4 linked regions of the Arabidopsis thaliana genome follow. The protein of the gene in region 2 purifies or fractionates together with the protein of the main gene of each other region. This does not show direct contact. Each region holds a gene or a part of one and is shown on either strand. Other genes may lie near its edges.

Region 1 (7,536 bases), on a different chromosome or scaffold from region 2:
ACAACGCGGAATGATCACCGTGGAGAAGGCCGGGGTCGGTAACCCAATGAGGAGGTTGTTGCACCATGTTACCAAGAGTAGGACCACATGAGGCATATCTAGCCAAATTATTACCATAATGCGACGGTCCATGTGACAATCCCGAGAGATGGAAAGTAGAATTCGACAACGGAGAGGCGTTTGGAGCTGAAAAGTTCGACTGACTACCACCAGGAAGAGAAGGAGCACGATGAATATGGCTCGGGGAAGACTGTTGAGATCTTTTTCCAGGCGAAGGAAAAGATGTAAACGTCGATTCTGGTACGATAATCGGTTCGCTACTGTAATGTTGTAGCTGTGTTTGCTGCTGAGGATATGAGGATGTCCTATACAGAGAATTTGAATTAGGAGATGATTGTGGCTGTGAAGACCAACTAGCTTCCTGAACTTGTTCTTCAACTGTGTGCTGATCCAACCAGCTTGTGAACTCATTATCCTGAGTCCAATCTGTAGCAGTAGAACCTGGACATAAAAACTACTGTTAGAAAAAAAGCTGATAATGGATTTTTTTTTTGTTGACTTGTAATTATATTTCCAACTACCACAACTTAATACTCCAATCATTCACCTCCAGAAGTGGATATCTAAAAGTACAAGCTCACAGTTTTTACCTTTAGTTGCATAGTTCAAGAAGAAGAAAAAGTAACATAGAAGAACAAGAATAGTAAACAGTAAACAAAACTCACTTTCTCTTGAAAAGGACCCTGATCCTCTGTCACCAATTACTCCAAGGTGTTTGGGCCCGGTAACATTTCTGTTCAGCTGCACAAGATAAGACCAAATAATAAGATAAGTTAAAGTAGAGAACAAGTAATAATAAGAAGCTGAGAAAGACAGATCATTTGTCTCAAGAGAGACGATGAAAAATGGTAACAAAATGATATTAGTAGAAACAGAATTATTTAAAGTCATAATTCGGAATTTACAATATGCTAACCTTTGCAAAAGTTGTGGCAAGATCATCCATGTCAGATAATGATCCTAAACCAGCACCCTGAAACCAGAAGTAAATGTTTTGTTTTATCTTCCATTTATCTCATATATAATTAGCATCAAATATTGCCAAGAACAGACTCAGTCCAAATTACCTCTCTTTTATCAAACAAGTGATACTCTTCATCATCAACATGTCCACGAACAGTACCATCATCATCAAGACCACCCAATTCGACTTCTTCAAGACTTTGACCAAAGAACTCATATTGAGATGCGTCAAAGAGTGCACTATTGTTATCTGCACAAAGACAATAAGATCCAGTTTCATCAAACACATGAGGTAAGTGACAATCAGTTGACCAGAAAATTTAAGTAAAACTAAAGCTTTTGTAAACAAATCTGTGACATTTCAATCATTTCATACAACTTCAAAAATCAAATTAGTAAATCTTATAGGTTACTACAAAACTTAAAAAAAAAACGAATCAAATACTGTAACAAGGAAGATAAATCAAACATAACAAGCATGAAACAAAAAGTATGTTTCTCTTAAAGTTTTCACAAATCAGAAGCAAATCAAATCATTCACATCTCAGATCAAAGAAAGAAGCTTTAGCAAACTGATGAATCACAAAATAAAAACACTTTTATTAGATTTGAAAACAAAAAGAGCTGAACAAGAAAGAGAACTGACCAGAAGAAGTCTTAGCGAAGTTGTAGAAATCTCTAGAATCAGATCTCTCCATGATCAAACACAAAGTAGCAGAGACACGAAGACAGCTAAAACACAAAAAAAAAAAACAGCGAATACGATCGAATCTCCAAAAGGGTATTGCTACTTCTTGTCAGAACTAAAGAAAAGGTAAGTAAAGATTAGCTGAAATCGCTAGAGGTTCCCGATTTTCCGGGATTCATATTGAGAAAGAAGAAAGTCGAAGGAGGAAACTTCTCTTCCTAAAGAAGAGATTTTTGATTAGATTAGATTAGAGAAGAGAGAGAGAGAGAGAGAGAAAGAAAGAGAGAGCCTTTTTTTATTATCTCTGCCCTGTGCTATGCGTAACATTGACACATCTCGAACAAATCCTCATTTCTCTGTCTGAAATAAGCATTTCACCTTTTTTTTTTTTTTGGTTCGTTAAGTTAAAATAAAAGAGAATAAATTAAAAATGTTTTCTTTTGTCGTCAAGGAAAAATTCTCTTCTGTTGACAAAAAATCAAAAGTAAAAATATTCCACTTTCCGAACTTTTTTTTCTTTTAATTAAAATTATACAGTATGTTACTAAAATTAGTGATAGTGATTACAAAAGATAAGAATAACCTTTTTTTAGTGCTGTCTGCTTTTTTATTTTATTATTCTCTCTATTTTAATATTATTTATTACATATTGCTGTGTCTACTAATATTAGTGATCATAAACATTTTCTTATCATAGAAATATAATTTCCTGCGGCATTTGAAAAACATCGACCGATTTCGTGTAATCCACACTACATTCACGATTAAAAAAAATTATTTTTTTAACATATGAGACCACTATAAACAATTATACATGTAAACCATACATAATTTCATAATTTGCATTTCTAGGCTTCAGATTTTATATGAAAACATTAAATAAATTATTGGATAACTACGAGAATTCGTCTTATTTCTGTAATTATTTTGGATAACTACGAAAAACAATTTAATTGATATAGCCATATAGGTTATACCACATCCACTAACTACTAGTATATGATTCTAATTAGTAAGACGATCCTTCTAAATATATGATTCCACCTATTTTCTCCTTTTAAGTTTATGCTTTTACTTGTTTGAAACTCCTCAACCAAACCAAATAAGTTAGTTATGAAAACTTAATTGCATAGAGATTAACAAAATTAAATACACATCGACGAAATAAAATAAAATAACTGGAGGGACAAGTTATATGGTCCATGTGAACGGATTTCATCCGGTCGGTTCAATTTGATCTCATTTGCTAATTTATTATACACAAATTCAAATGGTCTATTTTTTATAAAATATGACACCTATATACTTACTTGCGTAGACACGATATAACCGGCCAAGCAAAGTTTTCTAAAATATATAATAATCTGCAAATATGATGTTAACAGTCCATAATTATAGACTATAGTCTCGCAGTGGCTAGAAAAGTCAAGCATGCAATTTTTAATTATAAATATTTGACACATTTTAGTAGAATTATAAACAAATATATTGATTGCTGCGAGAAGAAGTTTCCAACTTTGTTCGTATGATGAAAGGTAAATTTTGTGATCGAAAACGAAAGTAGACATGTTTGAAAGTCTTAAAATATTGGTAGAAAGGTTTTCGAAATTTTCGTGACAATTAAATTGATAATTTTGAGTATGGAACTTGATCGAAAAATTAGAAGATTTTGAGAAAAAGACAGCATGTTTTTATGCGATACAATGTATAGTTTCACAAACAATTCCAATAATAATATGATAAATGTATAATTTTGTAGATAGTATAAGTGTAATTTTGTAAAAGTTAGTCACTATACATAGTGGTAGTGCTATGAGCAAGCCAAAAAACATATATGAGTAACTAAAATTAGCAGTCAAATATAGAGTTGGATAGCTTCAACACCAATCATAAAAGTTTTATCAAAACCGTTACTAAAAGTTTTACTTTTTTTTTTTTTTACAGCTCTCTCGTATAATTCTTTTGTAAATTTTGCACTATTTCAAAAATACTTACAACTCCAGCTAACAACTTAATTCTTTTTACAGTTTTGTATTATCAATGGGATCCATAACAGTTGTATAATTTTATATATGTCTTTGTTAGTTCAAAAAAAAAAGTTTTTGTAATAATAACTCTTTTGAAGTTTGTACGAACGTAAGAAAAAAAAAAAAGGAAAACTAGAATTAGTATGACCCAATAACTGAAGCTAGGTTTACCAGGCCGTGTGATAAGAATATAAAGCCCAAATTAAAAATGGGTCTAACCTAAAGGCCCAATAACTGAAACTAGGTTCTCTCCGCATCCATTTTCTGCATTACTATTAAAGCCGCATTTCTCATAGAATCCGCCACTTAGGGTTCATAGCAGCCAGAGAGAGAGACAAGTGAGAGGGATCTACCAAACGAAGCAACAATGGTGAAGTTCTTGAAGCAGAACAAGGCCGTGATCCTTCTTCAAGGACGTTACGCCGGAAAGAAAGCCGTCATCATCAAATCCTTCGACGACGGTAACCGTGATCGTCCTTACGGACACTGCCTCGTCGCCGGACTCAAGAAGTACCCGAGCAAAGTCATCCGCAAAGACTCAGCTAAGAAGACAGCTAAGAAATCTAGGGTTAAGTGTTTCATCAAGCTTGTTAATTACCAGCATCTGATGCCTACTCGTTACACACTCGACGTGGATCTCAAGGAAGTGGCGACTCTTGATGCTCTTCAGAGTAAGGATAAGAAGGTTGCTGCTCTTAAGGAAGCTAAGGCTAAGCTTGAGGAGAGGTTCAAAACCGGTAAGAACAGATGGTTCTTTACCAAGCTCAGGTTCTGAAGAAATTTTCTATTTCGTGAGGAATTCATTTTGAGCGTTTTGTTATCGTGTTTTTTAGTTTCTAGGGTTCATTTCCCATGGTGAAAAATGTGGATCCTGTTTTGGATTGTGGAAGATGTTTTGTTGAAGTTTGGATTATGGATTTGATCTTTTATTTTGATTCTCTAATGCATTCTTATTTACTCTTTTGTTTCCGTTGAATTATATTTGCTTAGGCTTGAGGAAATGATGAATTTAGTAACGTCTTTAGGCTGATATTGGTTAAAATCTGGAGGTCCATTGCAAAGAATTCTTGTTCATAGCCTTAGTTAGAAAATTATAGATGTTCAAGTTTCGTAATCTTCGAAATTGAATTTGGTGTTACTAATTGTCTTAATCACGGTTTTGAATTAGCAAAATATCAATAGCTAATTGTTTTTTGAGCAAGGTTCTGATACAATGGCTATATCTCCTTTGTTTATAAGCTTCTCTGGCATTAAGTTTTGATAGAATCGGGAAATGTATTTACCAAAAGTTGAATCTTGTATCGTTTTTGTTAGATTCTGAATATCCCATTGCAAGTAGCTTATTCCTAAACTCGTCGTAAAATACAGCAAATTTTCGAGTTTCATTTGTCTAGGAAATTGATAATTTGTAATCATCAAACTTACAGATACAGCCAATGATGTTAATTATTTATTTCAGAGTATTGAGAAAAACTCACATATGATTTCTCTGTTAACTGTATAACAAAACGCAGGCTACTAAAAAACAATCACTATTGCGGTATCGTTAATCTGATCTAAAGACAGATTTGTAGGCTTATGTGATTGTTTGTTTTCTCACTTGGGAACCAATAAATCGACAGCTAAGTAATAGCTTCCTACGATCACAGTCGATGCAACAGAGCTTCGAGCCATCCTCATCCCAATACCTCGGAACAAGAGATTTCTGTCTGTAGGATGGATTCCTGTCCATCTCTCTAATCTCTTCCCTGGTTTATTCCATTTTAGAAACTTCCTCTCCTTTGCTGTATACTGTAAGTAAAACAATAGAAACCCAACAGAGAAAATGAGTTTCATATCTCTTTGTAAGATAAAGTGGAAAGCCATGAGTAGAGTTTCTTTAAACCTTTGGCAATATTACACACTGTGCACGTGTTCTTGCTGTGTCAAAGCTATGTGATGCTGCAGCTGCAACGGCACCAGATATCCCAGCAGCAAGGCTAATGGCTACCGGAGATAAAGGTCCAACTTCTTCTTCAGAACTGAATTCATCAAGTTTCCGCATAATCATTTTAACAATCAACAATCCAAGTTCAAGTGAATTGAGAATTCAGTGTCGATTGAGAGTTTTAAGTACCTGGGCAGAGGATTCATCCCAACAGCTTTCCAACCGACCATTGCCTCGTGAAGAAACTGCCATGTTGAAAAGAATACTCCACCGTAAATACAATCTCTTATAAGACCTGAACGTAGATTCCTCCATAAAGCTCTATATCCTTCAAGTGATGCAACATCGAGCGGTCTCTTAACATCCATGGCTGATGGTGGGTTTCCTGTTCCAGTCATCATCCAAGGGTACTCTTGCAAAGCAGCTGTCATGTTTGGGTGTTTGTGATTTAAGACGGATAAGAGACTGACTGTTTGTGTCAATGACTTTACATCAAGAGTGTATCTTCTTAGCAGTTTTGTGATCATGGGTGAGACCGGTGCGGTCTCTGCAACAGCGGAAGCATTTGGAGCCCGTGATGCAGCAGTCACTTGTTTTCGGACTTTGATTAGCTCAAATGGAGAAGTCATCACTGTTTCTGCTGCACCTCCCACCAGACCAGCCAGAAAAGCTTCACCAACACTCACGTAGTTATCATGTCGACCATCTGGAGCGAAATGAATTCATATTCAGATTCTTCAAGACAAAGGTATTGCCCAAAAAGGAACCAAATTTGCGTATAAATGACATGAATGTATGTGAACACTGTTGCATATTCTAACATAATCCATGAACAAATGATTGCTGTATTGACTAATTAACTGATGTTATTGAGCTAATTGACAGAGGAGCTAGACACAAAGAAACCTAATCTTGAATCATCGAAATCAGACACAACAAAGGAGACATGGACCTGTGTAATACCTTTGTAGAAAGCTGTTAGAATCTCATAGACACCAAACCTTGCACCAAAACCAGAAATTCTTCCTAAAGTTAACGATCCAAGACCACTGTACAGACCTGCATTTGAAGAACATGTCATTATGCCTGATGCAGAATCAGAAAATGATTGGAATCTAAAAGAGTAGTTTGCGAACCTGAATAGCCAGAGAATCGAAGAACTCTATTAAAAACTTGAAAGGAGCTTAATTTCTTATTGGGTCCTGAACCAACCTGTAGTTCAATGCTATTCTTAATCCCCAGATGAATCTAAGTGATAAAAAGAACAATTTGGTGAAGAAGAGGGAAAAAACCTGGATAATGGTTTTGATGGTATCTAAAGGATAAGCGAGAGCAGTTCCTAACGAGACAGAGGCCGAGGCAGCGATGGCATGTGTCGCAAACTGATGATTCTCAAGAAGCTTATCCATCTTTAGCCTCAGCGAAAACAAATGTACATATACCTATACGTTTTTGTCAGCAACACTACAGACTACAGTATCAGTATTCAAACATACTATGTCCTTTACTCTTATCATAGTCTCCAAAATTAAGAGGTTTAGAAGTAGATCAACAAGTTCTTATCATCCATTTGATCCAACACAAAATAAACAATAATTAGAGTATTATCATACCTCAAGTCAAGAAGAGTTTTCTCTCACAGGATATTAAGTAAACAGAAACCTCATCATCAACCTCAAAGATGTTTCACGTTGAAGCAAAACCCAGATCAGCGACAGAGAGAAGACGAAGAAGACGACCGACGCTAATCGGAGAAGAAAAGACGACGTCGTTCAATCAGAAAATGCCCTAAAGGAAATGACGTCGTTTTAGTTATCAAGGGTAAACAAAAAAAAGTTAAAAAACGGAAAACAAATTTTAGCAAAATTGGG
Region 2 (9,143 bases):
ACCAGTCTTGGCAGCTGCTTCAATGTACTTGAAATGGATCTCAGGATCCTCACTATCGCACAGAGAGAAACATTGTAAACATAAGCATATAAATACAAGAATCGTGCTTGTTTACAGAAACGAGATCAGATTTTATCTATATCACCTCATACTCAAATATGAACCTAGGAAAAAGTATAGCCCTTCATATGACTTGAACTGCTCAAAGAGCTTAATACATGCATCAACACCAAGTTGCTCACAGTACTCCTTGCAAGCCTGAAATTGTATGGACACCGTTAGTGTCAAAATAACCAATAAGATTCATCATATCATACACCACTTGCCTGAACAATTATCTGCAGATTGCCTCTCAGGTTGACCAGCAACAGATCCTTCATGCACTCCATAGCCCACTCGCTAGAAAGAGTGCCAAAAAACTCAACAAGAGCCTGCATATGGAGCAGAGTGTTATGCAACAACTTGACCACTTAGTAGGTTTAACAACCAAAATATATTTCAGAGGCACTACCTGTGGCTCGATAGCATGTGTGTTTACAATTACACGTTTTATATCAGGTAACTCTGAGTAATGCTGCACAAATCAAAAGGAAAAGAAGTTGGAAGGTGAGAAGATGATAAATCTATTTGGCCGGTAAAAATGGTAAAAAACATGTACCAACCTTCAAGGATTGGATATAAAGTCCAGCCTTTTCACAAAGTTGAGCAATGCGAGGCCGGTCATAGTGGGTGAACATCCCATTTGCTAATACCGCATCAGCCACATTAGGAAAAGTTACCAAATTTATCTCCAGAACCTGTGTTGAAAAATGATTTAAACAGTCTGGGGAAAGAAGGTGAGTAGAGAAAAAAACGGAGAGATACAAGGTGGCAACTATTTTCAACCTTAGTTTGCAGAAAAGCATGCTCAGGTAAATTTGGCTTTAGCACATCCAGAAGGAAAGAAGTCGCTTCACGGATCAGATTTCTCTGAATATGCACAAATAGACAAATAAGCACATGATAATTTACATCTACTGTATACAATTCTGTATATAGGAGTAGAACAAGTAATGAGCTACAAATATTGGTGCATACAGAATATATTGACCTACCTGAAGAAAAAGATCAGTGATGGTGTTGTAGTCAACTGGAGAACCTCCTTCCATTTGAGACATCATTAATGCAAAATTTACTGCTCCCTGCAAATAAAAATTAAAAGACTATTGATATTAATACGGTGGGAAAAAGATTCTTCATTCTATATAACATCAGGTCAAATTATTCAACAAGTTAGTTGATTCATAACTCTTCCAGTGCTTACGCCACATATATTCAGTAAAGTCCTTTCATAGTTTAGTATGTTGCAAGTATCAAGAGTGCACCACACTAACCTGAGGATCTGTACGGAGTATGGTTTGCAGAAGAAACAGGTAATCAGGTGTGTACCCAACCTGAAGTCACAATATGAAACAATGGTAATTCATGAGACAACAGAACTTTAGGGTAAAAATAATAGAAGAGGTTATACTATAGATCTTATTGCTTACCTGCTTTGAGTAAATCAGTATTTTGTCAAACTCCCTTCTTTCTGCAAAAGCTGCTACAACTTTTGGAGTCGCCCGAGCTTTGATGTATATTTTCAGAGCGAGATCATTATCCACAGTCTGGAACAGAAAGGTTTATCGTCACAACACACCATAGGAGACATATCACACATTTTGAATAAAATCGTCCATTTCAAGATTACCTTCACAAGGTCTCCAAGTTCTTCACTGCATTCTAGTTTATCCTCTGCCAACCAGTTTTCCAGGAGGTTCTTCTTGTTTTGGTTCACAACCAGCCGAGATAGTTCCAGTGACTCATATGAATTGAGTTTCCCTCTAGTCAAAAGAGTCCCAAAATACTGTAACAATGGAGGAGTTTGTCCAGCTTGTACAGGAACACTCTGCAAAATTATAGAGTTGAAAAATTGGTGTTACCAACATTTCATCATAAATAAACATGTTTACACATAGTTGCTTGGATATGAAATAGACACCTGGAATTTGGCCACTGTATCAGGTGTCCTTAGAATTCCTTGAGGAGATTCAGCAGCAAGCTCAGCAGCCTCCTTGTACTTTGTTTGAGCGAACAACTCCTGGAACCGCTGGACAACCTACAACATCCGAGCAGAATATGAGAAACTTCACAATACCAAATGACATTTTTTTTCTTCAAGCTGCCATTTAACAACTATATAATTACTTCACCGAGACAACAGATCCATGATAAACATCGCATACCAGATTTTCTGCACCTGGGAGGTTTCCTCTTTTAGCAAGATTGACAGCAAGCTCCAAATTGTTCAACTGTGATACAAAAGCATAGATTTCTTAGCATGACATGATGAAAAGGGTAGGTTATAACGGGAAAATAGCATAAAAGATTAGCATACTTGGCCACTAATAAAAGGTATAATGGTAGCCTCGTTTACTGTAGCCAAAAGAACTTGTCCTCGCCTATTAATGGCATAGAAACCCCCAACTGAGGAAGCTTCAGAAGTCAAGAAAATTGGGTCTGGACTAATCCGATTTCTGTAGATAGCAGAAGCAGTCTCTAGATCGTACACAAACAACAGGCCAAGTTTGGTGATAACATATATCAAGTTAAATTTGTGAGAGACCTGTCAGGAAAATGAGAAATTAGTGCCAGAAATTGTCACTAACTACTTACACATATAACTGAAATTCTAATGCAATAGCAAACCTGCATGGCAACAGGAAAATCATCAGCAAAATCAGGGGGAAAAAAGAGATCTGCTTGTTTTTTTGTAAATGATGGTTTTCCTGCAAAAAAATCGCCAACCTTTAAAGATCAGATGAATACAACCTAGAAAACGTAACCAATTATATTAAATAACAGTGAAGATATAGTTTTGCGTCGGGGAGCTAACCAGGTTGGGCACCAAGCTCAATGACATGCAACTTTGATGTTATCTGCCCAGCATTAAAGCTCTTGCTTGCAAATGATATAAGAATAGAAGGATTCTCATTCCCAGGAACCTAATATTAATAGTGTTGCAAGTCAAACTACAGTTCAAGATTAGACCATAGATGAACTCACCAAAGAACAAAGACGTTACCTTAAACTGCGCAAACGATGCAGCATGTGCCTCAAGGGCCTGACTCCGCTGTTGATCCACAGAGAAAAGCTGCATATTTCCTTTTACCAATTGTTGTCTCTACAGAAAACAGATAATAATGACAAGATCAGTCAAGAATCTACAACATGAAAGCAGTTTTGATGTCTTTTTTTGACCTAATATGTGGCGCAGTAAACTTACCTCAGGAGAGCCAGGAGCAATTCCAATTAAAACCAACCACTTCTCATTAGGAGAGCACTTATAGTTTATAATTTGATTGTTGGCCAAATTGGCTGTTCTATCAAACATCTTAACTGGCTCAGAATCACCTATAAAACCCGAAGGAAAATTAGAAACGAAAACACAAGATATGAAGAAAATGACAGTAGGCTGAAATATACAACCTTCAATTGACCAATGATAGACGGAATTCTGTGTGACCAGCCCCAACATCTTTGGTGTAATCCACTTCCAAAAGACAACCTGTAAAAACATGAAACATTATTATCCAAAAAAAAACCCGACTGAAAAATTCAGAGTTATACGAAGTGTATAGCAGGAACGATAATGGAGTTCAAATATATTTGCATCAACACTCACCTGCTCAGGCATCTGATGTGATTTCAACTTTGCTTTGGCTTCAATGTTAAATATCTGTAGATGATCCTGAGTAGTTCCTGGAACTTGAGCTACATAAATATTGAAGTAAAAAGTGAACATCAAGATAAGTGGATTATGAACTACGAATTCGAGGAAACCGTTATGGGTTTTAGATCAAAGGAAAAAATCAAGTACCTTTCAAGGCAAGGATCTTCGAGTTTGGGTTCATAAGAGCAGAGTCTGCAGTAATAGGCCTCCTAAGAGGCTGCATCGGCATATTCATATCTATAATTACAACACTGTTTTGCGGTGACGTCTCTCGTACACAGATATACTTGTCAGACTCCATAGTAACATTTGTAAACGTGATGAATTGCTGATTGATCCCGATGCTCGGAAGCTGGAAAAATCAAGATGAAGCGTTACGTCAAATAGTTCATTTATTTAGTTATGAGATCCGAGTACATAAGCACATTGCTACAGACAACAACTTGAAATTCGGCATTGATATATTAACGAAACACAGATCTGAGCATAGTTAGAGAAATCTGATCAGAAACATGCATTCCCAAACAAGCGATCCGGAAAAACTAGAGAGTAACACAACGATCGAGCAGAATTCAGATCAGTAGGAAACTGGAATCAATCAATCAAGAGACTGAACAGAGCTTAATCGTAGAAAATCACGGTCGATTCCAGGAGATACACATCTAAATATTCAAAGATAAGAGTGAAGAGTAAGGAGAACTCACCGTCAGGACCTCCTTCATCGTGATGGGGGCGTTGGCAGCCGCCATGTTTGACCTCAGATCACAGCAAGAGTAAATCCGGGGACGGAATCAAATATACGGCTGAGAAGTCCTGACCGCCAATGGCCAGGAGATAGAACCGAGACGAGAGAAAGACTGGAGAAGAAATGAAATCGCTGCCAGATCTGAAGCAAGTGAACGAGAAAGGTGATGGAAAGAGAAAGAAAATTGAGAAAAGAAGAATAACAAATATATATGGGTAAGTAATGACGAACAGCGATCCAATTAGAGTCTTACATTTATAACCAGGTCCGGCCCATATCGGTCCTTACTGGGCTCTAAGCATCCGAATTTCTAATGAGACGACACGTGAAATATTTTAATTGGTGCTTTTAAATGAAGGTACCTTAGGTGAAACAACAATAAATGACTTAATAATTAAGATTTGATCCAAGAAAAAAACTTAATAATTAAGAATGGAAGAAGTGTCATGACTTTTAATAATTTTTTTTAAAAAACTTAATAATTAAAGATTTGATACAAGAAAAAAAAAACTTAATAATTAAGAATGGAAGAAGTGTCATGACTTAATAATTAGAAACAAAACTTAATTAATCTGATCCAAAAGAAGAAGGAATATTATGTCATAGAGTATCACTGATGATTGCAGGTTGCAATTGTATGTTGCATCAAGTCATCCGTCTTGGTTCCATTCAGTTTTCTGTGATGAAAGAGTCATTTCCCCTGGTTGAATTGGTTTTTTTTTTGTTATATGGCTCTGTTGTTTTGTATAGGTTATTGTTGTTATTAGCTTATAGTGGCTTAGTGTGTGGAGATTTGTTTCTCCCTGTGTAATTGCTTCTGTTCTTTGTGTTGGTACATGTTTCCAATCTATCAATTCAAATCCAGTTGAGAAAGATTAAGAAAAAAAATGGAAGAAAATCTCCCAATTTTTATACATAATAAAATGAGATGAATTGATAATCAATTAGATTTAGTTAGTAAAGTTTAATTTTACCGATGAGATCTCAGACGACCAAAACACGAAAATAAAATAAAAAGAAAGATCTCAGAATCGCGTCTTTCTTCTTCTTCTTCGTCTTCTTCCTCCGAAACTTTTTTTTGTTTTTCAAAGTGGTGGAGCTAACCATGAAATCGACTCACCATCACAGAGCTCCACTAATATCTGCTTCTTCCTCATCTTCATCTTCTTCCCAAAACCATTCATTCGTCTCTAGGCTCCTCCTTCTCCTTACTCTACTTCCAGTTTCCCTTGCTTGTCTCGCCTTTATCCTCCAATGGCGAGGCGGTGGTCTCGCCGATCCTGCCTCTGCTTCTGTTCGTTCCTCTACGTCGGTTCCTGGCGGCTCCGATCTCAATCACGAGGTCTTTCCCGGCATGGAGACTGTTTCATCTGTCTCCCCAAAGTCTCACCAATCCTCCTCCGACTGCTCAAATCTAGCTCGCAGCTCTTCTCCTTCTTTTCCTTACTATGCTGATTGGAAGTTTGGTGTTGATACTAGCTTAAAGCCTAAGGTTACTACTTTCAATTCCCCTGATTTCAAGTCTTTGGATCGATCTACACTTCCAAATTCCTTTTTTTTTTCTTAAATCTTACTACAATGTCTAATCTGAAATATCAAGTTGTTCTTTTTTTATTGGATTATAGAGATTTGAGAAATACCAAAGTTCATTTTTTGATCAGATCTGTCTTTGTAAAGTCACCTCACTTTTTGTGCTCCATGTTGTATATGATTCTTGACATTGTTACTGTTTACAGATATGTATCACGACTAGCACATCAGCTGGATTGGATCAGATTCTACCATGGATGTTCTACCATAAGGTTCTAGGCGTCTCAACATTCTTCCTTTTCGTTGAAGGGAAAGCTGCTACTCCGAGTATTTCTAAAGTGCTCGAGTCTATTCCTGTGAGTTGAACTACCTCTCTTCGCGTCCACTGTTTATTTTGTTTTGGCTGTATATCTCTAGCTCTTTAGTCCTGTAGGTATAAATTTGTATTTAAGGTATGCAGTTTTCGATAAATGTAGTCCCATGTCTCTTGCAGGGTGTTAAAGTAATATACAGGACGAAAGAGCTTGAGGAGAAGCAAGCGAAGAGGTTAGTTAGTTATCCCATTGCATATTTGCGACAAAGCTATAGCTCTTCAAGGCACTAAACACATGTTTTGTTGTATATTCTGAAATTGTAGCATTGTTTTGTTGTATTTTCTACTACTGATCATTTTACTGTCATTCTTTTTTGTTTTGTTTCATCAGCCGGATTTGGAATGAGACCTGGCTTTCGTCTTTCTTTTATAAGCCCTGCAATTATGAGTTATTTGTCAAACAATCTCTCAACATGGAAATGGCTATTGTCATGGCTAGGGTAAGTATTTCTTTTAGACCTTATTTGGTTCAGTTTTGACTCATGTCTCATGTTACATTCTCATTTTTCTTGTTCTTACTAAATATCAGGATGCGGGCATGGATTGGATACTTCATCTTGACACTGATGAGCTGATATACCCAGCAGGTGCTCGTGAGTACTCACTAAGACGGTTGCTGCTTGATGTTCCTCCAAATGTGGATATGGTTATATTTCCAAATTACGTGAGTGATATCTCATTCACACTTCTTGCATTGCTTATTTTCAGCTAGTTTTGTGAGTCTAAAGTTTCTTTTATGATCTGGCCTTTGCTATGAATAATGCTTTTGGATTTTGTTGTTTAGGAAAGCAGCGTAGAAAGAGATGATATCAAGGATCCTTTTACAGAGGTATAATTCAGTTTATTACTGTCTTTACGTAAGAGAGTAGGTTTATTAATATTTGTTTGTTATGTTAGTATTACTTCTGAGATATGTGTGGTGCAAGCAGGTGTCAATGTTCAAGAAGAATTATGATCATCTTCCAAAAGATACATATTTTGGAATGTACAAAGAAGCAACACGAAATAATCCAAATTACTTTTTGACTTATGGTAACGGCAAATCAGTTGCTCGGGTTCAAGATCACCTTCGTCCAAATGGAGCACACAGATGGCATAATTACATGAAAACTCCCAAGTATGTCTATCATATATTCAAACATAACTAAATTTTCTATTGGTTGAGGAACATGATAGGACTTTGTTGTTACTCTAATATAGAACCATGTAACTATCTTAAAGGAGTTAGCAGTGGAGTGGAGTTCCGGTTAACAGCGTAGTTAATTTTTTCTGTTTGTGAAGCCAATTTTTTTTTGGAAATACTAACCTGATGATTCTTGCTAGTGAGATCAAATTGGAGGAGGCTGCTGTCCTACACTACACATATTCAAAATTTTCTGACTTAACATCCAGGCGTGATCGATGTGGCTGTAAGCCTACAAAAGAAGACGTGAAAAGATGCTTTATGTTGGACTTTGACAGATCTGTGAGCATCTTTTCTTAAAATCTCTAAAAGTCCTTAGTCATTTCTTAAAATCTCTATATTTCACTTCCTCTTACCCTTTTATGATGCTGTATGGATCAACATTGTAGGCATTTATAATTGCGTCAACAGCAACTGACGAAGAAATGCTAAGCTGGTAAGAGCCTTAGCATCGTTCTTGGTTACTTGTGAAATAGATAACTTCTGACACTCTTTGAACAAGTTTGGTCCTATTGTGATTACAAAAATATCTGGTCTTGATCAAAAAGTAATCTACCCTGTGTAGGTACCGTGAACACGTTGTGTGGGGTGACAAAGACGTGAAGACGAAACTCCTTAGGAAGGGTATTCTGACTCGCATCTATTCACCAATGGTAAGAACATACTCTGCAATTCATTATACAAAATTCCAAACACAAGTCCTGGAATGTTGAGTTCTTGCAAGTCAATTGTAAAATATTATATACATTTGTGGTAAAATGCAGGTTGTTATACAAGCATTGAAAGAATCTGGTGTCTTCAGCTCGGTTGTCTCATCAGCTTCTACAAATCTGTCAAAGAAAAAGTTCTTATCATCAATTCACAAAAGCAACTCATCCAGGTCTACTGCATCTGAGTCCCTTCCATCAAAGGAAAGCAAGTCTGAGGGCATCTCTGCAAGGCACCTTCTTGAGGCTGAATCAGCCATCCCTCCTTTATCGCCACCTGGGATGGAACAAGCTAGATTTTTTACAGAGGATTAACAGGTTTTAGCACGGAGCTGATGCATTCGCTTTTACTGATATTGATACTGGTTGCAATATGAGTGCTGTGTAGCTTTAGGATGGCAAATGAAGTGGAACAAAGAAGAGTGAAGAAAGCGGCTTTGTGTGATTCTTCCTAATCATATTGAAAAGTCATCGATTCTCTTGTCTCATTTTGCTCTCCCTCTGCAACTTATGATAGATGAGTTTGCAGCATTTTTCTGTTGTCATTGTTACTTCTATGTAAGTTTATTACTATGTACAGAACTTCAAAGCACAGAGCCTTGGACTCATTTTTCTACTTACATCGATCGCCTTATAACTACACCACTACTGTCATGGCCTCTTCATGGGCAAGAGTAATACCAACCTTATTAATTCAAGTTTAATACAAATCGATTAACATGCACCTAACCGGTAATGACTCAACACGTATGTTATCATGAGGATGACACAATCTAGGATTCCAAAAAAAGGTATGAAGAAAGAGTCAATGGTCCATAAACGAAGATTTGGCACCAAAAAGCGGAGACTCCTCA
Region 3 (7,452 bases), on a different chromosome or scaffold from region 2:
AACAAAATTAACGAGAAAATCTTCTCCTTGGTAGAAAGAGCATGAGAAGAAACTCTCTCTATAGAGAAGCTTGAGAGATCAGAGATCTCTTACCATTATATAAACACACACACTCACAAAAACAATAGAAGACGACAAAAAAAATCCCACCGAAAGGATAATTTATTGTTTTAATTTCCTTATTATCTCACTTTTTTCTTACTTTTGTGTTCAATAATTTGAAGATATTTTCTTGGTTCATATCATCAACAGAGACACCCACCTGCGAAAATTACCCGAGAGGCGCGTGGAGTCTACGGTTACGAAACGGACGGCTGAGAATCCACGCGCCTTAACGGCCTTTTTTCCTCGTTCTTGAAAAAGCTTTCGTCAAGTTGGTTTTATTATCGGCTTTATCAATTGAAACACGACTCTGCATGTTTTTTTTTTATAAATGATTTAATTTAAGAGCCGTACAAAAACAGATCAGTGTGTCCTTTGTTTTTTTTGTTCTTGTTCGGCGTTACACAGCTCATAATTAGCTGTTCGTTTTTTCAAACTTTTATCCGTATTATTATCCTTTCTTCTTCAAAGATAAATTTAGATTAGTCTTAATTTTAACCACATGATCAGATACTCTCTTCAAAAATGTTAACTAATCGTGAATTATGTTGAGGTCCGCAAAATTGCGTCATAAATATTTTACTGGTCTCTCTTCATATTTCTTAGCTTCGCTTGAATTGATTGTTACCCTTTTTTCCCTTTTTTTCTGTGTTTACTATAATGCCACGTTTCTTCTATCGAATAATCTAAAACAGAAGAAGAAGAAGTCAAAATGCTTTTTATATGATCATTTTCTTGTATTTTTTTTTAGTTTTTGATCGGAGTAAAGTTATAAGAACTTCAAAAAAAAAAAAAAAAAAAAAATGCATGATGATGCCAATCTTTTTCTAACTTTTAAAGAGTATTGGAACATAATACATATATCATGTAAACTGATATTTTTAATTGTAATTTTATATCATATACGGATTTAATTGTAATTTGAGCATCACCCAGTTGTGCAATTGTAGTTATCACAGAAGTGCACATTGCAATGTTGTTGAACAACAGAAATACCTTGACATCATCTCACTGACCCATGCAGCCATGCCTAAACTTGGACCAGAACTCATGTAACCACCGGGTAATGTCAAACCTGAACTCTGAACTCTCAGGTTAGTTAAACTCATCTCTTGTTGTTTCCTTAATTCTAAATCATCACTAAACCTGTATTAAAGTGTCCCAAATTTTTTAGATAGAGATGTATAGATGCACATTTAACCCACCTGAGGAAGAACTTATTAACTATTACTGGAATAACAAGATCACCAGAGAATGATGATCCAAATAAAGGCAACGAATTTGAAGTTCTACTACATTTTCTTCCATTTTCTCCATTATTTTGCAAATACATAAACACATAAAACGAATTTATTTCCATTTTTCCCAGAAATATATAAGAACAAGCTAAAACACAGGGATACATGAATCCTCTCAGAAATCAGAGCATCGACCACGTTGTTCCCAATCGCCGTACCGAGTCGGTTCAGGACCTCTAGGCCCTCCAATCTCACCAGTATCTTCGTTCACAAACTCTCCACCTCCACCACCTTCTCCTTCCTCTTCTTCTTCCTTCTGCATCTGCAGATTCTGTTGAAGATTCTGATCTGGCTTCACGTCCCGGTTCAGATCCTGATTCGGAGATGGAGCTTGCGGCGGAGGAGGTGTACCGGAGCTTAGAAACCGTGACACTGGCTCGAGGAATCTAGAGGAGACGGATCGGCTTGGAGCGATCAAACGTACGATGTTGTTCGTCGCCATTGTTAGATCAGATGTGTCGGCCAAATCAAGAAAGAGATCCGACCTTCACGGTTTGTGATAGTATAGGGTTCGATAGTCATTTAGGTTGGGCCATAATTGGATAATAAGCCCAGTAGTATCTAGGCCCAATCATTTACATGTTTATAAATAAATTAAGAGAATTAGAGAGTAAATTTGGCCCAGTATAATTATGTTTAACAAGCCCATCAGGAGCTAGGCCTAACATGTTTATAAAACAAATAGGAGAGAATTAGAGGGTAAAGTTGACGTGGGCTGATTTCGAACCCGTAACCTTTTTATATATTAGACCTCATTACCAAAAAGCGATTCGATTATCTCATAAAGCGTCATGTGTTTTTTTGTGCCACATCAACGGCTGTGAGTGGTTAGTCACTAAAGAAAAGTCACAGGCTGTTATATAGTATTGGCTTCGCTATTTATTTTCGTCTACCACGAGAAAAACAAGTCGTAATTCTTCTATCTTGATATCTTCACCGCCTGCCGATCTCTCTCAATCTCCGATCAACCATGAGCAAAGGTCCAGGACTCTTCACCGATATCGGCAAGAAAGCCAAAGGTATAATTATCATCGTATCGCTCTTCTTCTATATTCCTTCTCTCATCGTTAAGATTCCGGTTGAAATCGCGCAATTAGTGCGTGCGTTTATGCCTGTTCATTGATTCGAAGTTCTGGTGTTTCGAATTTGTTTATCCTGTAGATTGAAATGATTTTTAGATTTTGATTATATTTTGGGTGATCCTATCGAGTTTAAGCTGTTTCTGTTTTGATTTTTCCTTCTTTGTAGATCTGTTGACGAGAGACTACAATTCCGATCAGAAGTTCAGTATCTCCACTTACAGTGCCTCCGGCGTGGTATGTTTATTATATCGATGCAAACTCTGTACTATTTTCAGACTCTTGTTCGATTTCGGTTTTAATGCGTGGTTAAATTTGTGGAGTATCGTTTTGATATTCGTTTTCAACCATTGTGTTTTCCGTTTTTATTTAGCTGCGATTAGACCTTTAAGAGTATATGTTCTTGGTCTGATCGATCTCCATGTTGAAATCGATTTCTTAAGTTCTGTGTTGGTAATTGTCAAGGGAACTGAGAGAGAGAACGAGTATCAGGATGATATTTACTTCTGTTTAAGAACTAGATGTTTGATAATGAGTGAAAATGAGGTCAACGTTTGTATAGATTTCACTTTGGTTACAAAAATATGCCATAAGAACTCCACTATATGATTCATTTTACAATTTCTTCTTTAGGTGCGCTGCTTATAGTAAAATTATTAAGTTATTGTTTGTGACAGTTTCAATTAGCTAATTGCACTTTTGTATTTAGAAACCTAATGATTGTCTGCATATGATCTAGCAGTCTAACTCCATGGTTAATTATACGAATGGAGAGCCTTAATTTTTTTTATTTTTGGTCTGTGTTCTGTTGTTTAGGCCCTTACGTCTACTGCTCTGAAGAAAGGAGGAGTTCATGCTGCTGATGTTGCCACCCAATACAAGTACAAGAATGCTTTGTTTGATGTTAAAATCGACACTGATTCTAGTGTAAGCGTTGTTGTAGAGATCTATTATACACTTTATCATCTAAAACCAGATTAATCTGTTAAGCGTGTTTGTATTTTTTCCTTACAGGTTTTGACAACAGTCACACTTACCGAGATCCTCCCATCAACAAAAGCCATTGCCTCCTTCAAAGTCCCTGATTATAATTCCGCCAAGGTTTATATTCCTTTTTAATGAAATCACAGATGTTTACTTCTCAGTGGTTTGAATGAAAATTAATCCTTCAGCTTTTGAATTTCATTAACAGCTCGAGGTGCAATACTTCCACGACCACGCAACAGTTACCGCTGCTGCAGCTTTGAAACAAAACCCACTAATTGACATAACAGCTACTCTTGGTTCGCCAGTCATCTCATTTGGTGCTGAAGCTGGATATGACACAACCTCCAAAACTTTCACCAAGTACAATGCCGGGATCAGTGTGACAAAACCAGATGCTTGCCTCTCCATAATATTGTAAGAATACAAATTTCAAAATAAAGCAATCACTAGCTCTAGATGTGGCTTGTGTGGGTCTCATCTGAGTTTTTTTTGTTCCAGGGGAGACAAAGGAGACTCACTCAAAGCATCATACCTTCATCACTTTGATGAATTTAAGAGAACCGCAGCAGTTGGTGAGGTTTACAGGAAGTTCTCGACAAATGAAAACACGATAACGGTTGGTGGATTGTATGCGATTGATCATTCGACTGCAGTGAAAGCTAAGCTCAACAACCATGGCACACTTGGTGCTCTTCTGCAGCACGAGGTCCTGCCCAGATCACTAGTGACTGTTTCCAGTGAGATTGACACTAAGGCTTTAGAAAAGCATCCAAGGTTTGGTCTCTCTCTTGCTCTCAAACCTTGAGAACACACACTCACATCAGACCTGCTTGAGTCTTCCTACTTTTCTCGTATGCTCTCATTGTTGATTTCCTCTACGGCAGGACGTGAGAGTTAGCGTTTTTTTCCTCCTTTTTTCCTTACGTTTAATTGGAATCAATAAATAGTTCCGCAGTGAAATTGACGGATAATTCTTTTTTTGGATATGCTCGGTTTTGGTTTTTTTTTTATCTTTCTTTTATAATTAAGCACTCTTCTTGAATATACACTCAGTGATTTTTTTCTTTTCTTTTAGTACAATCCAGTTAAAAAAACAAAAAAACATATAAACAAGTTGATATGATGTAAATCTCTTAGACATTAGCAAATCTTAGATAAACAAGTTAATGGTTCCTTCTTCCGCCGTGAGACTGATAGTGGGTTTCATAATTTAGGAACAATGATAGGAGGATACAAATAAAAACCGTTTCTACAACGAGCCAGTTTGGTTTAGTTGATCAGCTGCTTGTCATCGAGGTACATTCGCAAAGGAGATTCTCCCAATATTGTTGAGCCTAACTTCAAATGTTACCATTTTTTCTACGATTGGTGTAGAGATCATGTAGAGCTTTACAATTCACAACTTGCAATTACCAGTCTATATGTCCGACACCAAGAAGAATTAACGTATACAACGATTGATTGAAATGAATGATGAATTATCAATAAGGATTTAAATCTCAGTCCAATTTCAATAGCTAGAAATATAAGCATAAATGAGGTACATTGATAAGAAAACCACAAAATTCAACTTCGAATTCTGAATCATATCATCATCAATGAAATCAAAATAGAAAACTAGAAAAGAAGAAGAAAAAACCATACGTTAAGATCAATCTACGTTCTCCATGACATCTTCGGCTGAAAACTTGGTTCCCTTCTCCTTATCGGCGGCGGCGCGTCCATTAGCCTTACGCTCCAAAAGCGACTTCCTATCCTTATCGAGACGGAGCTTAGTGATCATCACATTCGAAGCATTGACTCCGACGTTGACCGTGGATCCGTTGACTTTCTCCCTTGTGATTCTCTCGATGTGAATCACCCACTTGCGGCGATACACCTGCATCACCTTCCCTTCTCTTCCCTTGAACGTCCCACGAACAACTTGCACTTCGTCGTCTTTACGAATCGGCATGGATCTGACGTTGTGTTTGTTACGGAGATCCTTGGATAACGGCGAGCTCATGAGAACGCGCCTCACGCTTGAAGGAGCTGTGAAGTGAGCCTTCCTGTTCTTCCGGCGAGAAGAGCTCACACGCGGATTGAACTTCATCGCCGCTGAATTTGTGAAGAAATTAGGGTTTTTTTGTGCTGAAGAGGTGGAGCGTTGTGTGCATGAGTTTATATATGAGATATTAAAAGTTACTTAAACGCTGCCGTTTCTCACAGTGAGAATTAGGGTTTTGAAGGTTTCTGGGTCAGATGGGCTTTGATAAGTTTTATATGGGCTTTCAAACCATTAAAATGGACCAATCTAACCTTGAGAAATATAATGGGCTTATTAGATTGTTGTCAACTTCTAAGTTAAGTGTTGTACTCAATTCTAAAACCAAACGCATTAAAGAGTTTGTATTCTTTTTAATTTTGTTCTCTCCAAAACAATGTGTTGGGTTCTTGAGAAGACTGACTGTTATTGATTATTTTTTTTGTATAATTAAAAAATAAGGCTGCTTGAAATAGTAATGGTTACAATCTTGAATATTTGGTTATTTGGTTACAATCTTGAATAAGGCTTTTTGTATATTTGGTTACAATCTTGAATATAAAATATATCTTTCAATGAAAAAAAAAATAAAAAAAATAGTAATGGTTACTGACTAAGTTGGAGATAAGGAAATCATCAAATCATAAAAGATCCATTTAGGTTAGAAATAAATACACACTTATTGAATATCATTTGATAAGGCTTATCTCAAACTAATAAAACAAGAATCGAGATTCGAGAATCTCACTAAACAAATAGATTAGGTGAATCCGACAAAAGCCAATGATGCCGTCACGCTCATAAAACTCGGATTCCACAAGCCCAAAATAGACAACATGTTTTATTTTATTATTTGTTTACCGACTTAAAATATTAATTTAAGATCGTTAAAAAACAAACTCTACAAGTTTTTGATTTCAGAGTCCACCGTTGAGCCTGTTCAATTAAATCGTTGAATCTCGCGGTGCGTTTTACTTTGATTCTTTCGAATTTTTTTTATATGGATGTTGCCGCGATGGCGAGATGTGTGGGAAGGTGCTACGTTTCGCCGGCGTTCGGTGAGTCTGAATCGCACCGGTTATCGGAGCGGCGGTTTCTGAAATTGTCTAGCTCCACGAATTCGGATCCCGCCGGTAGTAAAAGTTTGAAGCTTCGCGGGAAAATTCATCGGAGAATGAGCTACTTCCGTCCGATCATGGCAAAAGATGAATCCATTTCATCGCGGTCCGGTAATAATCACGTAATTCCGTTCTGGTTCATCTCTAATCCTAGTTTGGGTTCCTATGATTCGTTTTTAACATTTGGGTTCCTGAGACCAGAAATTTCCATAGTTTTAGCATAAAGTTTGGACCTTAGTAGACAGATCAATGATGTATATCTGAATAGATCTAATCTCAGATAATCTAACCAGGTGAAACGAAGCAAATCAATGGAAAGCAAAAGAACATTGTCTGGCATGATTGTCCCGTTACTAAATCCGACAGGCAAGAATTAATTAAGCAAAAGGGATGTGTGATTTGGATTACTGGCTTAAGTGGTTCAGGTTTGGTCCTTTGTTTCTGAATTGATCTCTAACTACATCTTGTTATGTTTCTACTGGATTCTTTCAAATATTCTCGTATTTTTTCAGGTAAAAGTAGTCTGGCATGTGCTCTTAGTCGAGCTTTGCACAATCGTGGAAAGCTTTCGTATATACTTGATGGTGACAATGTTCGACATGGTTTAAACAGCGATCTTAGTTTCGAAGCAGATGATCGAGCTGAAAACATTCGAAGAGTTGGTGAAGTGGCTAAACTGTTTGCAGATTCTGGTATTATCTGTATTGCAAGTTTAATATCTCCTTACCGGATAGAACGAGCTGCCTGCCGTGCATTATTACCACAAGGAGATTTCATTGAGGTTTCTCCAAGTTCATGAATTTGAATCCCAGTCTCAACATCAATCTGACTTTCTCTTGGTTCTC
Region 4 (7,481 bases), 5.3 Mb from region 2:
ATTTGGTAATAACTTGAACAACATTAGTATCACCTATCTCTTCAACTACCTCCTTAAGTAACTCATACAACTTATCCTCAGAATCTAATATCTCTGATGCATCAACTGATTTCAGAAACACTACTTTCTCAGGACAGTAAACCAAAAACTTAAGGATCAAAGGTCCTTCGTTGGAGTTCAGTTCCTGAACTAAAACAGAACATCCTGTTCTCTTCCATAGAGTTTTGCACTCATCAATCTCTTTCTTCACTTCCTCTACACAACTCTTCAAAATCCAACCTCTGAGGTCTTCATGTGTAGGAATAGAAACACCAAATCCTCCAGAAACAATCGCATCGATAAACGGTTGAACATTGACAGAATTCGCCGCATCGAAATCAGCTCCAATATCAAACAGAAACCGTCCCATAGCCATATGAACTGTTTTCTCCCGCTCTTTCGAAGTAGGATGCACAATGTTCTTCACGCTACTAATAGCCACAGGAATCAAATTGTCCATATCTCGATCAACCTCAACATTAGCCAAATCATTCCTCTCAAAAGCATTATTCTTTCTACTCCTATAAGTCCTCTGCTTCGTCCTCCCAGTACTTTGACCCACTACGACATCCGAACTCGGCGATTTAAACCCGTTATTCACATCAGAAGAAGCAGCAACCTGAGTCTCAACTTCACAAGGAGGGAAATAAGCTATAGGCAATGGTTCAGGACTTGATTTACGTCTCTTCCTCTGACGTCTCACCGTACCATCAATACACTGCTGCAAGAAAAGACGAACCTCATCAGGAACTTGATCACAGATAGTGCCTTGTCCTTTCTTGCCAGCAAGATGTTCCTTAACCCTTGTAATACCACCTCCTTTAAACATCTTTCGACAGTAAAGACATCTCATCTGAACTCGATCTCCATATTTGTAAACTTCACAGTGTTTCCACGCACTGTCTTGTTTCTGTGGTGTTAGAGCTACAGGTTCCAAATCTGAATCCATCCTACAAAACCCTAGATCCTTCAATTAAACATTTACGAGATCAAACTTAGAAGAAGAATTCATCAGCTTTCATAAAAAAGCTCACAACTTTCGTAACAAAGATGTTAACTTTTCGTTGATTAGATAAAAATCGGATCATATTGAATCAAACCCGTCAAAGAAAAGCGAAATTCTAAAACCCAGTGCAGCAAAATCGTAAATTTCAGAGTTTTTGAATTATCGAAAGAACAGAGAACGAACCTTTTTTGGTTTGCAGGTTTGTGACCGGGTTGGTTACGGCAAGAAATCGGTTCGGTAAAAAACTTGATAAAATTACGGTATAAGGACTTCGGTTTTGGGGATGAAGAAGGTGGAATCGACCGGAGAAGAAGAGATTAAGGAACGCTGGAGAAGAATCTGAAGGCGACGGAGGAATGCAATGTCGGAGAAATTTTTGAGATGACCCGGCTCGTTAGGGTTCGAGAGGAGAAGAAGTTGGGCAGCTTTTCTGGTTTATAAAAACGACAAATTTTGTTTATTTTTTATTTTTTTTGTCTTGTTTTGGCTTAAACTTGTTTTTGTGGTTAAATCGGTTTTTAATTTAAGGACTAAAGTGATTATTTGTATAAAGTATAAGGTCTGATATGATGATAAGTGACTTCATGTGGGGTATCTTTTAATTTGTCTTTTCAAAGATAGAAATGATTTTGGGTCAAAAATATTGGATGAGATTGTAGAATCTAGAGATAATTATTGTTTTTCAAAGTCTTATCATAAATTAATTAAGGTAAAGTTGAATGATAAATTAAAAAGCAAAATGTGTTAATACTTCAAGAACATTTGTTATACTTCAAGACCAATCACAAGTGCTGACTCACATTACAATGATTGTTATGTTTTACTAGATTTGCTTCGGTATTAGTGTGAGGATGTGTTTTGTCAAAAAAAGCTTAGAACATGAACGGAGTTTAAAGAATACGGTTGAAGCAAGGGCTTGCATTGTTGCGTTCTATATCTCTGAAATTCGTTTATGTTTGCTAAACAGAAACCACAATGTGCATGTATAATAGATTATCAAAATGTTGAGAGACCTTGTTCTGTGATTCTTTCATTGTGATATTTTGTACAATGTTAGTTTCATTTTAAGAGTCACAAGTATTTGTACACAAATCAAAAATTTCACATAATAGTTTTCAATCTCGTATATTGCAACAGGTCTCTATGACTGAACAAGGAAAAAATCAACTAACACAAAGGCTATACAATACATGGCCACTCACACAATCGTAACAATCTCCTAACTTTTCAATCTAAACAGCAAGGTTAAAGAAAGATTCGACACCTATCTCGTTAAAAGTTAAAACACTCTATTTATAACACCATAACATCAACACGAAATCAAGTAATCAACAGTGACAACTCAAACATGCATCTAAGACTCTCTATATGCTCCTACAAGTAAAGAAAAGAGACTACAATGGCTCTAGGACTGACTACAATGGCTACAGGGAAAATGATTTGACAGAGAAACCCATTTCAATACTACTCCAACATCTCGAAATTGGAAACCAGAAGTGACCATCTTCAATAACCTTAAACAACATTTCCACAATGTAATCAATTCAGCTATTAAACCAGTGACAATATATAAAATGAGGCATCAATATAGCAAAAGATTATAAGTAAGAGACAAAATCCAGAATCAATTCCAAACCAAAAGGTCTTAAACAATGATCCAAATTCATTCTAGAACTAAACAAAAAGTAGATAGATAGATAAAAATCTCAAAGGTTCTTCTTCAGAACCTGAGCTTAGTAAAGAACCACCTGTTCTTCCCAGTCTTGAAACGTTCCTCAAGCTTAGCCTTAGCTTCCTTTAAAGCAGTCACCTTCTTATCCTTACTCTTAAGAGCATCAAGAGTCGCTACTTCCTTCAGATCTACATCGAGCGTGTAACGTGTAGGCATCAGATGCTGGTAATTCACGAGCTTGATGAAACATTTCACTCTTGATTTCTTCGCCGTCTTCTTCGCTGAGTCTTTGCGGATGACTTTGCTCGGGTACTTCTTCAGTCCGGCGACGAGGCAGTGTCCGTAACGACGGTCACTGGTTCCGTCATCGAAGGATTTGATGATCACTGCCTTTTTGCCGGCGTAACGGCCTTGAAGGAGGATCACCGCTTTGTTCTGCTTCAGAAACTTCACCATTGTTTCTCACCACCGCAAAGAAGAAACCCTAATTGAAGAGATGATTGTCTTTATATAGTGTGCTGAGTAAAACCCTAATTTGTTTTATTTCAATATCGAATTCGGCCCATTAAAATGAGATGATCCTAAAAGGCCCATGTAAGTTTCTTATATCGTTTTAGGCCCTGAAACCACCAAATTCGAAAATATTTTTTTGAACACCATTTTATATGTTTTGTTTGGACATCGTTTTATATGTTTTGTTTTACAAAACTAAAGTCGAGATTCGTAAGCTGGGGGAGCTCTGCGGGATGGAGAACGTAATTGCTGTGACGGTTTTACGGTTAACATTGGACGTTGTTCTGCACCTCTACCAGAATTACGGAGAGTCTACTATGGGCTTTATATCGCTTGGGAGAAGCAAATCATAAGAGTGGAGCTGGAGATTGATTCGATATTTGTAGTTGGGTTTCTCAAGACAAGGATTAATGATTCTCACCCAAAGTCTTTCCTTGTACAATTGTGCTATGGCCAGGGGCGGACCCATGTTGAAGCTGGGTGGGCATGTGCCCCATTTTAAATCTTATAAATAGTGTATTAGCTATGTATGTACAAGAAAATTTAGATAGCATTGATGGTTTTACAGTAAAGTGTGTTTCATATAAACCCAATTTCGATTCCCAAAACTGTAATTTAGGTATAATGTTTTTTAAAATCATAATATAATTTAGCTAATTAAATTTTAACTAGTATTTTATAAATAAAGTGCCCCATATAGAATTTGGGTCTAGATCCGTCACTGGCTATGGCTTTCTCGCAAAGGACTGGATAGTCCGCATTGTTCACGTGTATAGGAAGGTCAATTGTTTTGCCGGGATTCAGATATTTTCTAATCCAATTAGCATCAGACTCAGATATTTTGCAAATTCTGGTTGATTAATGCATAAAAGATCGCATTCATAAAAATACCAAATCTAGCTCGTCTATTATTATCCCGCTGGATAATATTTTCATGTGTTTTCTATTGATTGGTGATTGAAAAAAAAAACATTTTTCACGTAATAATTATATTTGGATAAAGTCACAACCACTTAAAACTGTAAATCGAACTGTGCGCACATCCGTTTGGTTCACTTAAAACTTTAAAGCGAAACACAACCATCCTTAATTCCTCACTATCGTCAAACATTTTTTTTATCTATTTCTTACAACAATAATTTGTATGAAATCGTTAATTTTGAAGTTAATGAGTCCCATGCAAGGATCATTCACTGTTGGTCAGAAACAAGATGTAATTAAGAACACTAAAACACAGTTTCCTTTGAGTAGTAAAGAGTTATGACTAGCTATTTGGTTTTTAATTTCTTTTATTTATATAGAAACAAAATACACGAAGCAAATGATTCATTTTAAACAGTGAAACAAATAAACTTTAAAATGCGTGGAAATCCATAGAAACGACTACTATAACATATATATATATATATATATATATAGATTTTCTATCACGTGTTGTTTTTCAGGTTTGGGCAACGACTTCTGTCTCATCATGCTGATTTACTCTGATGTACAGAGGCTGGAGCATACGCCGCAGCAGAAGATACACTCCATACAAGTACTGCCAATAGTGTCAACAGACATATCAGTAAAAAAAAAAAGTAGAACGCCGGATATATAAAAAAATAACATCTTGGATAATTAGAGCCAAGTTATAAACATATATATATATATATATATACACGTACCTAAAACAACTCATTATGGCTTCGGGGTTGACGCCCTTGGAGTTTGTCTCCACTGCTGCTGCCGGAGGATCACCCACCACCGCATCTCTAGTCGGATAACCAATTGGTGGCGGACTTGTGTACGGCCCTGATGAAGTCTCTGAAGGTTTTTGCACTGTGCCAAAAAAAAAAAAAGTTATCTAGTTGGTGAGTAAAGAATTATTGTTCATCATGATTATACGTTAGACATTGATCATGATTTTAGAAAACAATTGAAGATAATTACCGGAAAAGTAATTTTGCGCGGATTGATTCATTCTGATTTGAGGAGCTGAGGAGTGAGGATGTGAGATTTGTGAAGAGGAGAGAGTGTTGTGCTTCTAATTTATAAGGTAGACAAATATTAGGAAATTTTTTACATTATTCATTATATAAAAGAAAGAAGAGTCAATATTGAACAATAAAAACATCTAATCACAGACAACTCACGGACAGACCTACCTTAGCGAAGTGGTAGGTCTAGGTTTTTTGGTTATATCCAACACATATATAATTGCAGAGATAAAGCAAATGATATTGTTTGAAATGCACAAGGGCAGAGGAAAGCGATACCTATGGTTGAGATGAAAGTGAGAAATGGTTTGTTGCAGAAATGGCTTTCGTCACGTACATGACGTACACGTACATGACGTCGTAAAACATGAGGAATTTAACAAATTTGAATTATTTTGTTCCTGGAACTGTCTTTTAGAACCTCTTTTTTTTTTTTTTGGGTATTGCTCTAAACTCTATGTAAATTAAATAACCTCTTTTGATGATTAATTAATTTAACATTTCATGAAAATGAAAAAGTGATTAACCAACTGCCTTTGAACCATGATTAATAGTTTTGGCTTTGTTCCTTATGTTGGTGTGATCTGTTAAACTGCAAAGGAAAACAACTTTATAAACTTAGGTGTTGTTTATATTATTATATATTGTATTAAACTTAGGAATAAAAAATCATTACGTCATATTTTGTTGCTACGAATTATGACTAGCTATTTTTGTTTTTTACTTTGATTTATATAGAAACAAAATAGACGAAGCAAATGGGAATCATGGATCTCTTTCAACCAGTGAAGCAAATAACATACTGATGAATCCTCTATTACGTATATGTTGTTTTTCTGGTTTGGGCAAAGTCTTGAGTCTCATCATCCTGAAAATCCTGACGCGCAGCACATGACACATTCGCCGCAACCCTGGATACAACTGCCAATAGTGTAGGCAGACAGATCATTAAAAGAGAGTTGCACGTCGGATGAACATCTTGCTAATAATTAGAGCCAAACTATCTATAAAGAAAGTAAGTTAAATTAGATATGTACTGTAATATTAACATTACGACTTCGCAGCAGCCCTTGGAATTTGTCTTCTCTGCTGCTGCCGGAGGATCACCCACCGCCTTATCTCTGGTTGGATAACCGATCGGCGGACTTGTGTCCGGTCCTGATGCATTCTGTGAACGTTTTTGCACTGTGGCCAAAAAGATTAGTTAATTATCTAGCGGTGTGTATAGAATAATTGTTCATGATTATATGTGGCCAAAAAGAATATACGTCGGACATTGATCATGATTTTAGATAATAAATGAAGAATTACCAGAAGTGTGCTCGAGCTGATTCATTCTGATTTGAGGAGCTGAGGAATGATGGAAGGGAGAAATATGAAGTGGAGCGAGTGTTGTGGACTTAATTTAAGGAAGACGTACCACCATTTTTTAATTTTTCTTACAAACATATACAGAACAGACTCATCTTAGCCAAGTCGTATACCACCACTTTTTTTTTAATGTAACTAAGTCACAAGTGATTGTCGAGTAACAAAGAATTGCGGTGAAAAAGTAAATGCTATTTTGTGAAATGCAAAAGGGAAGAGGAAAGCGACGAAAACGGCCTTTTTCAACCTCTATTATTTGTTAAAAGCCTTTTTTCAAAAAAACTCCGATGTCCTGTCTTTCTTAATCAGAATCAAAACAAAATTCAAATTGCAAATCTGACATTTATGAAAATTAGCTGATTTCAACATATCTCTAGCTCGAACCATGAATTAATTATGGAGTTAAACACAAGTTTTGATGATGAAGAATCATAAATATTCCACAAGTGTTTTTTAAAAGCGTATTGAAACCTCTGGATCCAAAGTAGTAGGACTCATCAAAGTAGGAGTAAAAGAAAAAGAGATTTTAGCCAATGTATCATTTTTGGGTCCAATGGAATTTTTATTCTCATATTAAAAAAAAATATTACAATTCCAAACAGAAAAATGTTAACTTTTGTTGCGAATATTTTCAGATATAGAAAAAACTTTGATTTCATCGGTTAATTCAAAAATATTTTACTTATTCAGTAAAGTACTATTCATTTTCAAGCTCAATTAACTGAGACATAGTAATAAAATAAAATATATTTGAATAAAATAAAATTGCAAAAAGTCTTTTACTATGAATCTATGATCATATTTATAGTAGAATATGCAATAGGAAATACTTTGTTTTATCTAATTAATTCGAAACAGAACTATAGTTATGATATATTATTTCGATCTCACTAGCCTTTTTGAT

What was found.
Region 1: the proteins of AT3G08530 (region 2) and AT4G15000 fractionate together in Arabidopsis thaliana (co-fractionation; one large-scale study listed by BioGRID). This does not show direct contact.
Region 3: the proteins of AT3G08530 (region 2) and AT5G67510 fractionate together in Arabidopsis thaliana (co-fractionation; one large-scale study listed by BioGRID). This does not show direct contact.
Region 4: the proteins of AT3G08530 (region 2) and AT3G22230 fractionate together in Arabidopsis thaliana (co-fractionation; one large-scale study listed by BioGRID). This does not show direct contact.

What each region holds. Positions count from the first base shown.
Region 1 is NC_003075.7:8,567,791-8,575,326, forward strand, and holds AT4G15000 (Ribosomal L27e protein family), read left to right. Parts: upstream 1-4,025; 5' UTR 4,026-4,105; coding exon 4,106-4,513; 3' UTR 4,514-4,571; coding exon of another isoform or gene 4,572-4,597; 3' UTR 4,598-4,891; downstream 4,892-7,536. Other genes in the region: AT4G14990 (Topoisomerase II-associated protein PAT1), read right to left, coding at 1-501, 726-801, 977-1,033, 1,128-1,273, 1,670-1,721; AT4G15010 (Mitochondrial substrate carrier family protein), read right to left, coding at 5,335-5,529, 5,624-5,759, 5,855-6,371, 6,629-6,724, 6,802-6,877, 6,958-7,074.
Region 2 is NC_003074.8:2,590,912-2,600,054, forward strand, and holds the start of AT3G08530 (Clathrin, heavy chain), read right to left. Parts: upstream 4,744-9,143; 5' UTR 4,501-4,743; coding exon 4,456-4,500; intron 4,104-4,455; coding exon 3,899-4,103; intron 3,793-3,898; coding exon 3,704-3,792; intron 3,587-3,703; coding exon 3,508-3,586; intron 3,433-3,507; coding exon 3,305-3,432; intron 3,203-3,304; coding exon 3,104-3,202; intron 3,024-3,103; coding exon 2,915-3,023; intron 2,808-2,914; coding exon 2,728-2,807; intron 2,645-2,727; coding exon 2,417-2,644; intron 2,331-2,416; coding exon 2,265-2,330; intron 2,138-2,264; coding exon 2,021-2,137; intron 1,928-2,020; coding exon 1,730-1,927; intron 1,647-1,729; coding exon 1,530-1,646; intron 1,434-1,529; coding exon 1,374-1,433; intron 1,182-1,373; coding exon 1,095-1,181; intron 970-1,094; coding exon 886-969; intron 798-885; coding exon 663-797; intron 575-662; coding exon 512-574; intron 432-511; coding exon 327-431; intron 259-326; and 3 more. Other genes in the region: KOB1 (elongation defective 1 protein / ELD1 protein), read left to right, coding at 5,602-5,988, 6,233-6,382, 6,520-6,572, 6,731-6,839, 6,929-7,063, 7,184-7,228, 7,329-7,516, 7,723-7,864 and 3 more.
Region 3 is NC_003076.8:26,932,853-26,940,304, forward strand, and holds AT5G67510 (Translation protein SH3-like family protein), read right to left. Parts: upstream 5,647-7,452; 5' UTR 5,559-5,646; coding exon 5,118-5,558; 3' UTR 4,799-5,117; downstream 1-4,798. Other genes in the region: AT5G67490 (succinate dehydrogenase assembly factor), read right to left, coding at 1,516-1,842; VDAC2 (voltage dependent anion channel 2), read left to right, coding at 2,371-2,419, 2,649-2,716, 3,296-3,406, 3,494-3,580, 3,672-3,880, 3,965-4,240, 4,681-4,798; APK4 (adenosine-5'-phosphosulfate (APS) kinase 4), read left to right, coding at 6,490-6,718, 6,901-7,032, 7,120-7,388.
Region 4 is NC_003074.8:7,841,371-7,848,851, forward strand, and holds AT3G22230 (Ribosomal L27e protein family), read right to left. Parts: upstream 3,228-7,481; 5' UTR 3,174-3,227; coding exon 2,766-3,173; 3' UTR 2,166-2,765; downstream 1-2,165. Other genes in the region: AT3G22220 (hAT transposon superfamily), read right to left, coding at 1-988; PCC1 (pathogen and circadian controlled 1), read right to left, coding at 4,710-4,770, 4,898-5,051, 5,163-5,193.